Danio rerio: one gene and its partner. The main gene of each other region encodes a partner of the protein of the gene in region 2 in a complex. Links are inferred from orthologs where the notes say so. Each region holds a gene or a part of one and is shown on either strand. Other genes may lie near its edges. The genes, in order: pole4 and pole3.

Region 1 (4,466 bases), on a different chromosome or scaffold from region 2:
TGTAGTTGGTAACATATCGGAGACAGTAAGGGGCTGTATGTGTTCATATATGTTCATTTATTTATTTTATATAATTACAGACGTTACAGTAGGCTATTTTGATATTGATCTGCAGTTATAATCTACTCCTGTTTATAGAAAAGTTAGTAATAAACATTTATACACAAGTATTTATGTGTGTAAAGCATCTGTTTTGTGAGAAGTGCTTTTAATATGATTTGTGAACGACCTGTGCAGCTTTACTGTAGACATTTCCTCAAATGAGAATGATGCGACTGAAACTTTCTGTCTTACACCACGCCCACCAAAAGGGTACCCTTTATAGTGGAAACGCAAGCCTGATAAAGGTGACCCGTACCGACCCGAACCGTATTGTACCAGTCAGTGGAAACAAGGCAAAAGTGAACTCCATTTCTTTCTCTTTCTCTTTCTCTCTCTCTCTCAGTGGCCCATTTCACCATCTGGCGTGACTTTTCCTCCCCTCTCTTTTCCTCTCGGCTGTTACAACAATACTTCTGGGTATAGGCGCGGTAACAAATTTCCGAATAAAGCGCGTGAGCGATCGATAACTCTGGTGTAATTTTAACAGGAGTGGGCAGTCTCGAAATATTGCTTCTGAGCGAGCGAGCAAGCAAGGAAGGAAGCAAACGTGTGTGCGTGCATATTTGTTTGGTGCTGTCTATGTTTGTGTATGTGTGTGAATGAGAGACAGTGTGGTGCTGTGTGTCTATGTGTGTGTTTACACAGACAGCTTGTTATAGCTACCCCCAAAATATAACATCGTCAATGCACCGAGATATCGAAATGAACCGAATCGATGGCATGATAATCGTAACCGAACCTTGAGACCAGTATAGGTTCACACCTCTACCTGTACCTACGGGCTTCCATAGTAAGAAAAACAAATGCTATAAAAGTTGATGGGTAGAGATTTCAAAACATTTGTCAAAATATGTTCTCTTGCGTTCAACATACAAAAGAAACTCAAATTGGTTTGTGAAAAGTAAAGAGAGAGGAAATAACTACAGAATTTTCAGTTTTGGGTGAATTGTCCCTTTAATAGAAAAGCCGCAGATTTGTGATCAGCAGTAATTCTCCTCGGAGAGATTTTCTAACGGAGACATACTCATAAAGGTTTGGAACAACTTGAGGGAGAGTAAACAGTGAGTACATTTTAATTTTTCATTTTAACTATGCCTTTAAGACGGAACTAAAGAAATCTGAAAAAAAAAAAAAAAAAAAAAGTTTAAAACTTGGATTAAAGTCTTTTGGGTCAAAATAGACCTGAATGTGTTGTAAACCAGCTGTAGATTTGACATTATAACTTACCCAAGTCCTTGCGTTGAAGGGTTTTTCTCTTTCCCTGTTGTGCATAAACGAGAGCGTCCTTCGCAATCATTTCAACAAAAAGCTCCTGCGGGCAGAAAAACAATAATGACCATTGTGTTGTTGACCGAGATGTAAATGTCTAAACCAGTGTGGGCTGTTCACAAAAGTCTTGTCCTGGGTGTTGTGAATTCAAGAGCTGGCCCTGATGGTGTTAATGCACAAACAGGCTCATCCAGACTGACAAAATCAACAAATCTGCCTTGGTTTGACCTCGAAAATTCAGAATATGCAGACAGAAGTACTGTTATGACAGATCCATCATATAGAAAACTAATAATGCAATATTTTAATGTCTCTCTGTTCGTCTCTCTTAAGCTGGATTTTTACTTTCACCTGGCGCCGCTGACTGCGCGGGTACCTTGCAAAACGGACATGGCTTTTACACTTGCTGTGTTCGCCGTTGTAGTATTCTTTAAAACTAAGAGGAACTGACTGTAAAATCAGACGGATAAACAGAGAAGTATGAAGTTTCCGGAAATACGTAATATCAATAATATCATTCAATATTTTTTATTATTTTTATTGTTTTTATAAATTATTTGAATGATTGTGAGCATTTTTATAACCATTCAAGACTTTTTTTTAAATCAAACTTTGATGCATCACTTTTGTACATATCTCGGACAGTTTTGCCATTTAAAGTTTATTAAAATATTAATGACAACAGAACATGAGTTGCTCTACAAATATATATTTTTATTATGGCAGAAATAAAAGCCAAAGAAGTACACTTACTAAAAAAACAGGTTTTTTTTAATGTTTTTTATTCAGCCCACTAAATAAAAAACTATAGGAGAATTGATAAGCTAAATTGGCTATAGTGTATATGTGTGTGAATAAGTGTATATACTGTAGATGTTTCCCAGTACTGGGTTGCGGCTGGCAGGGCATCTGCGGTGTGAAACGTTTGTATACAATGATTATTGCTGGAATGAGCTGTGAGGCAAGGGGCACCAGGTAAAATATTGCCTAGGGCAGAAAATCGCCTGTCCTGACATTTTATCCTACCAGTCAGATAACAATGGTTCTATGAGGGCGAGGCTAGGACTTGGGGTAGGTTAAGGCGACATTACAAGCTCGTATTACACCCCTCCACATCAGTATTTATTTATGCTGGTAGGACAACGTGATGGATATGCTAACGTTACCTATCGGTTTATATTTTGATTACACACTATGCTACCTATTTTTTGAATGGAAAAATCTGACAGGATAGGACTTATCGACGGAACACTTGCCAGGCATAAAACAAAAACAGTGTAATCATGACAGACATACAAAACTGGAATAAAACACTTGGGGAGAGGGGTAAACTCAGGCAGCACGTGTACGTGTGTCTCACCGTAGCTTTAGCTATGATGAACACGGACTCTTGACTCGCCAGAGTCACATCCGGATCTGCTTTCATCAGGGTTTTAATGCGGGACAGCGGAAGCCTGGCGAGCCGGTGTTGCTGTGCGCCCGCGGTGGGCCCGGTTTGCCCGCTCCCCGCGTCTTCCTCCGGCTCGGTGCCCCGGGGCTCTTCTTCAGCCCCGCTGCGGTCCAACTCCGATTCCGCGGGAGCTGCAGACGCGGTCGCCGCCATCGACGCACAAAAACTCTCAACCGAACGCGCTGCTGTGAACCGAAAGCAGATAATCTAATCCTCTCCCGCCAAATCTGACTGTAAACACAACCTAGAGGAGGACGGCGGAAACCACGTCACTGCACGACGTCATGCTAGCGGGTCAACTCATTTCACTGAGTAAGGTAAAGTAGCCTGGAATTTGTTTTAACCACTTTGTCATCGCTTGGTATCACGGTAGAGTTAAAAAACGACTACTTGAATGAATGAATGAATATTAGAATACGAGGACAAAAACTGCAAAAACAATATTTAAATAAATACGCAAATATATAAATAAATGAGTAAATAAATCCACAAATTCCTGCATAAATAAGAAATTAAATAAATAAATATGCAAATAATTAAATACATTTATATAAAATCAACAAATTCCTGCATATATATATATATATATATATATATATATATATATATATATATATATATATATATATATATATATATATATATATATATATATATATATATGTGTGTGTGTGTGTGTATGTGTGTGTGTGTGTGTGTGTGTGTGTGTATATATATATATAGATAGATAGATAGATAGATAGATAGATAGATAGATAGATAGATAGATAGATAGATAGATACATAGATACATAGATAATAGTGCAGGCAGGTAAATAATTAAATTACACTACTGTTGGAGGAATAAGGAAATGCTAAACTGAAAATTTATTTTCAAACGTTTATTCTTTTCTTGAACATAGTTCTGTATTTACTTTTCCTCACACTGTGCTGGCGTCCACACGATTTGTGTTGGGACAAATATATTTTACACAGCGGATGTCCTTGTAGCTGCAACCCAGTACTGGGAAACACCCATACACTCTCACGTTCACACACACACTCATACACTATGGCCAGCTTAGTTCATCAAATTCACCTGCACTGCATGTGTTTGGACAGGGGGGAAAACCGGAGCACCTAGAGGAAACCCACACAAACACATCGGGGAGAATATTCAAACTCCATATAGAGAAATGCCAACAGGCCCCTACTTGAACCAGCAACCTTCTTCGACTCTTATAGACATTGATTTTTTTTAAATAACTTTTATATCAAACAATAATTTTATATTGTACCAAGCAAATGTCCCCATATTGACTGGTATTGCTAAATTTATGGGGACATCCCTACAGTGTACATAATGAGTACAAGGTACACACACACACAAATGCACAAATGTTGGTATTTGTGGTTTACAGGGACTCTCCATATTGATAATGTGTTTTAAACAGTAAAAGAAATGCTTATTATACACACACACACACACACACACACACACACACACACACACACACACACACACACACACACACACACACACAAACACACACACACACACACACAAACACACACACACACACACACACACACACACACACACACACACACACACACACACGCTGATATTGGTCGTTTAGAGGGACTCTCCATATGCGTAATGTAT
Region 2 (4,534 bases):
TGTTCTACACTGGAAAGTACAATCAGGAACCCTTGGCATATTCTTTTCAACATACTATGATTTGAAAAATACTAATACTATTTTCAAATACTATTTAGGACAGATGGTATGCAAATTAGGATACAGCATTAGACAATATCCCTAAAGGCTTCCTTGTGTAAAACCCTGACTAGAATTTGTACTTAACACTCCTGAGGTGCAATTCCCAAAAGTGACTACAGTGCCAATCAGTGTAAATTGTAATAAGCTAACAATGATTTTGAGAAACAAACATCAGTGTTAAAATAGTTGGAAAAATTAAAGCTGAGAGGGTCATTATAAGGTGATGTTAACCAACTGATGTGCTAAAATCTTTCAGATATTTGCAACATTTAATGAGTTCTATATTTCAAGAGTGTGTGCAGGGTGGAATATAAATTAGTCACACAGTTAACACAACAAACTTTAATTGGGGGGGTGGGGGGTTAAGTACTCAAATATTTTTGAGTGGTACAAAGATAAGTACAAAAGTATCTAACATTTGGGTTGTAGAGCCCAATCATAAAATCAATAGAAACACCACGGTATAAAGATTTTACATTAAAAGAAATTCTTACAAAAATGCTTCCCAGGTACTTTAAGCTGCTCACTGTTCACTTCCTACCTCAAATCTTTAAACAACGTGTGGTTTCTTGACCCAAGTGACAGTATGTTAAATTACTTACAATAATCTGTCCATGAATTCTGATCTAACTGAATGTCCAGTTTGCCTTGCACAACAGCTCACTGTAATACAGCCTCAGATATTCAGTTGCATAAGGTAAAACGGTACCATAGGCTTGTCCCTGTCCACACTATAAAAGTGGAACCCAGACTAAAAAAGTAAGGTCTCTATCAGTTCTCCACATCCTCTTCCTCGGCTTCATTTTCCCCATCCTGTTCATCATCCATGTGCTCATCTTCCTCTTCATCCCTACTCTTGTCATTCTCATCTGTGCCATTCTTCTTCTCCTTGTCCTTGCGTTTTTGCTCCGATGCCTCCTTCTTGCCTTTCTGACCTTTCTTATAAGCTGTTAAATAAACAAAATTAGCACCAAAATGGTTATATGCATTTGAGGGTAAGTTCATCCTTTGCCATTTAAATCATTCAAAACCTAGAAGAGATTATCTTTGCAGAACACAAATGAAGATGTGTTCAAATGTCAAGAAGTTTTTGATACCTTGTAAGTTGATTTAACCAAACTCTGGACACTTACAAATGTTTATGAAATGATCAAAAATGAGTTCACTCAGTATAAGCCAAGGCTTCTGGTGATAGCCTACATTACATTTTTTGTGAATTAAGTCATTAAATGTGATATTCACACCAATGTGATATCTTTCCCCCATAAAAACACAATCTTGACCTTAACCTCTTCATATTTCCTGTAATGGAAAAGTTGCCCTTGAATAGGCATGATAGTTTTCTGTTCTAACTAGGCATGATCCGGTATAAGTTTCTGACAGTATGATGACCTTGGATAAAAAATATGGTTTCACGGTACTGTTTACACTGCTGTAAAATATAAATATTTTTAATGTCTTGGTGACAAAACAATTTTTCCCCATTTAACACAATACATTACATTTGAAAAAAACATTTATAATAGTTTGAAACAGTAAACATGTCAGGCTAGATAAATTATTGACTTCTATCTTCATTTGCTTCAAAAACAGATTTCCTTACAACACTTAAAAACCCTCTACAAGTACCTTAGAAACGGTACAAAACATTTTTACGGTTTTAATATCTAGACTTTTCCAAACCATGGTAAACCTGGAAACTGGTTATTGTCCCATGCCTAGTTTTAACAGACTTTAATGGATGGCCAGAAATACATAACTCAAAAATACATACGAGAAAAAGAGAACAGAATTTTCACGTTGGGGTGAAATTACTAATAAACCCATACATGATGAATGCATTAATAAGTTGACATCTCTACATCTGAAAGGCTCTGTTTAGCATAAAATACCTTCAAGTGCCTCCCGCAGTGGCTGCAAGAAACGCTCGAACTCCATCTCCTCCATAGCGGACATCACATCTCCAGCGTTAAGTGTCTTCCTCTTGGCTTTCATAGCAAAACTGTTTGCACTGGTGTTAACAAAACAGAACATATTGCAATTGGCTAGAGTGAAGTTTTTCAAAAAGAACATTTCTTAAGACTTGCACAAACCCTTAAAATATAGGACCCATTAGCTCGCAAATACCTGAGCACATCAGTTGTTAAATTTCACCTAAATAGGGCCCTCTCAGCTTTGATGTTGTCTCCACCAGAGTTAGCAACTATTTTAACACTGCTGTTGGTTTCCCAAATGCATTGTTAGCCTATGATTACAATTTCCATTAATTGGAACTGTAGTCACTTTTAGGGAACACACTTCAGGAGTGCTTAATACAGACAGAAACAAAATCTCTCAAGACTTACCAAGATGTGGCGTAGAGTACGAAAACACTTGCTGCTTGAGATATCGCCCGTCTTGCCTCCTTGGACACATTTACTCCTTCTGGTAGCTAAACAAGAGGATTACAAGTTGATTAAACTCTCTACAGAACTTAAGTGGCGTTTCATGCTAAAGATGTATTTGCATTGTTTGTTTGTGTGTTCGTTCAAATGGCTAACAGCGCTAGCTTTGATGACACTTACTGCCTCCTTTATAATCCTTGTGATGACAGCATTGGGGAGATTGAGGTCCTCGGGTCTTTCAGCCATTACACGCTCAACTGATTTAACCGGTTAGTGCTATAAATATTAACAGATTTGTGTCAAATAATGTGCGTGACGTTTAGATATCAATCCGAGCAACTGCAAAACCGCGAAAACTTAAAAGTTAGCTTAGCAAATTGTCCGGGGGTGAACCGACACCAGCTGGAACGGCTGAATTCCGTTAAACGGCGATTTTTTTACCTGATAAAAGCGACAGAAGAGTATCTAAATTATTTATTTGAAAATTGATTCGTTGTAGAAAAAAACGGAGCAAAGGCTAGTGTACTTCACTGTTTTGCTGCCCGCTTGATCATCCAAAACCACGCGTTAACCTTTTACCTCTTACCGCTCTGTCCCGCCAATCAGTCCGCTCGTTTGGGCATGACGTCAGTTTGTAGGCTAGCCCCGAAAATAAATCAGATGTGTTTCTTTTTTTTAATTATTGTTATTGTTATTATTATTTTTAAAAACAATGTAGGTTAAATGTATAGGCGTGGTTTCCATAACATGCATACATAATAGCTCAGTTTGAAAATTAAAATAGTAAAACAATGGTCACGTGGTTCACATGCTGCTGGTAGTTGTAGTTTTTATTTGTAGTCACCCAGACATCCCTATGCTCTAGTCCAGGGGTGTCCAAACTCAGTCGAGGAAGGCTGGTGTCCTGCTGAGTTTAGCTCTAACTTGATGAAACACACCTGCCAGGAAATTTCTAGTATATTTAGCAAGAGCTTAATTAGATGATTCAGGTGTGTTTGATTAGGGTTGGAGCTAAACTTTCCAGAACACTGGCCCTCCAGGAGCGTGTGGCCCGATTCATGAAGGGCCACAGCTCTGCACAGTTTTGTTCCAACCCTAATCACAGCTGATCCAACTAATCAAGGTGTTTAAGACTACTTTAGACCAGGGGTTCCCAAACTTTTCAGCCCGCGACCCCCAAAATAACAAAGCCAGTGACTCGCGACCCCCAATATCCTCTGAGGTGGTTATAAATACAGAAACCTTGCATGCAATGACACAGACACACCAATTAAATTTGTGTCAGTGCTTTAAATGTGCCAGAAAGTATAGCCTGATGTTATTGACCTTATTCTAAAATGCGGAAGTGCGCCTGTTTTCGCGATTGTCTTAGAACTTCCGTTTCAGTCGCCTATGAGAGAAATGACAAGAAATAATAAACGGCAAAAAACGGTCAAACTACTTGCTCTATAAACAAATGTTTGCATGACTATACAGACCAAGTAGAATAATATAACAAGGAAATATCAGTTTGCAACATCAAACAGCGAAACGAGCAGTTTTAATGTCTAAAAATGAATGGAAGTGAATGAGAGCGGAAGTCTCGTGCCAAAAAGAGTCAAATGGCAGCGCCCACTCGCCGGCGGAGAATAAGGTCAATAAAATCAAAATGCATCTGACGCTATTACCCCAGGGGTCGCAATCCAATAGAACTAGTAACTATAAGCTACTATAGTAACTATATAGTATATAGTAACTATAAACGACTATTTTTATTTTCAGTATAGTTATGGATAAAATATGTTAATTCTTATGGTTTAATAAAAATAAATAGATTTTTGGAAATCACCAGGCGACCCCCCCTTCATTGCCCCGCGACCCCTCGGGGGGTCCCGACCCCCACTTTGAGAGCCACTGCTTTAGACTACTAGGTGTGAGTTGGAGGTGGCTAAAGCTAAAGTACGCAGAGCTGCGGCCCTCCAGGAATTGAGTCTGAGACCATTGGGTTTACTCTCTGGATTGACGACTTTGAATGGACAAAGTTGTCGGGATAAAAAAAAACAACAAAA

The links.
Region 1: pole3 (region 2) and pole4 share a complex: the UniProt entries of both Homo sapiens proteins name them as parts of the DNA polymerase epsilon complex. The link is inferred for Danio rerio from reciprocal best matches to the Homo sapiens genes POLE3 and POLE4.

What each region holds. Positions count from the first base shown.
Region 1 is NC_133186.1:6,331,246-6,335,711, forward strand, and holds the start of pole4 (DNA polymerase epsilon subunit 4), read right to left. Parts: upstream 3,096-4,466; 5' UTR 2,975-3,095; coding exon 2,732-2,974; intron 1,415-2,731; coding exon 1,330-1,414; intron 1,221-1,329; exon of another isoform or gene 1-1,220. UniProt on the Homo sapiens protein: Accessory component of the DNA polymerase epsilon complex. Participates in DNA repair and in chromosomal DNA replication.
Region 2 is NC_133180.1:33,508,187-33,512,720, forward strand, and holds pole3 (DNA polymerase epsilon subunit 3), read right to left. Parts: upstream 3,023-4,534; 5' UTR 2,733-3,022; coding exon 2,667-2,732; intron 2,534-2,666; coding exon 2,448-2,533; intron 2,114-2,447; coding exon 1,995-2,113; intron 1,050-1,994; coding exon 874-1,049; 3' UTR 430-873; downstream 1-429. UniProt on the Homo sapiens protein: Accessory component of the DNA polymerase epsilon complex. Participates in DNA repair and in chromosomal DNA replication.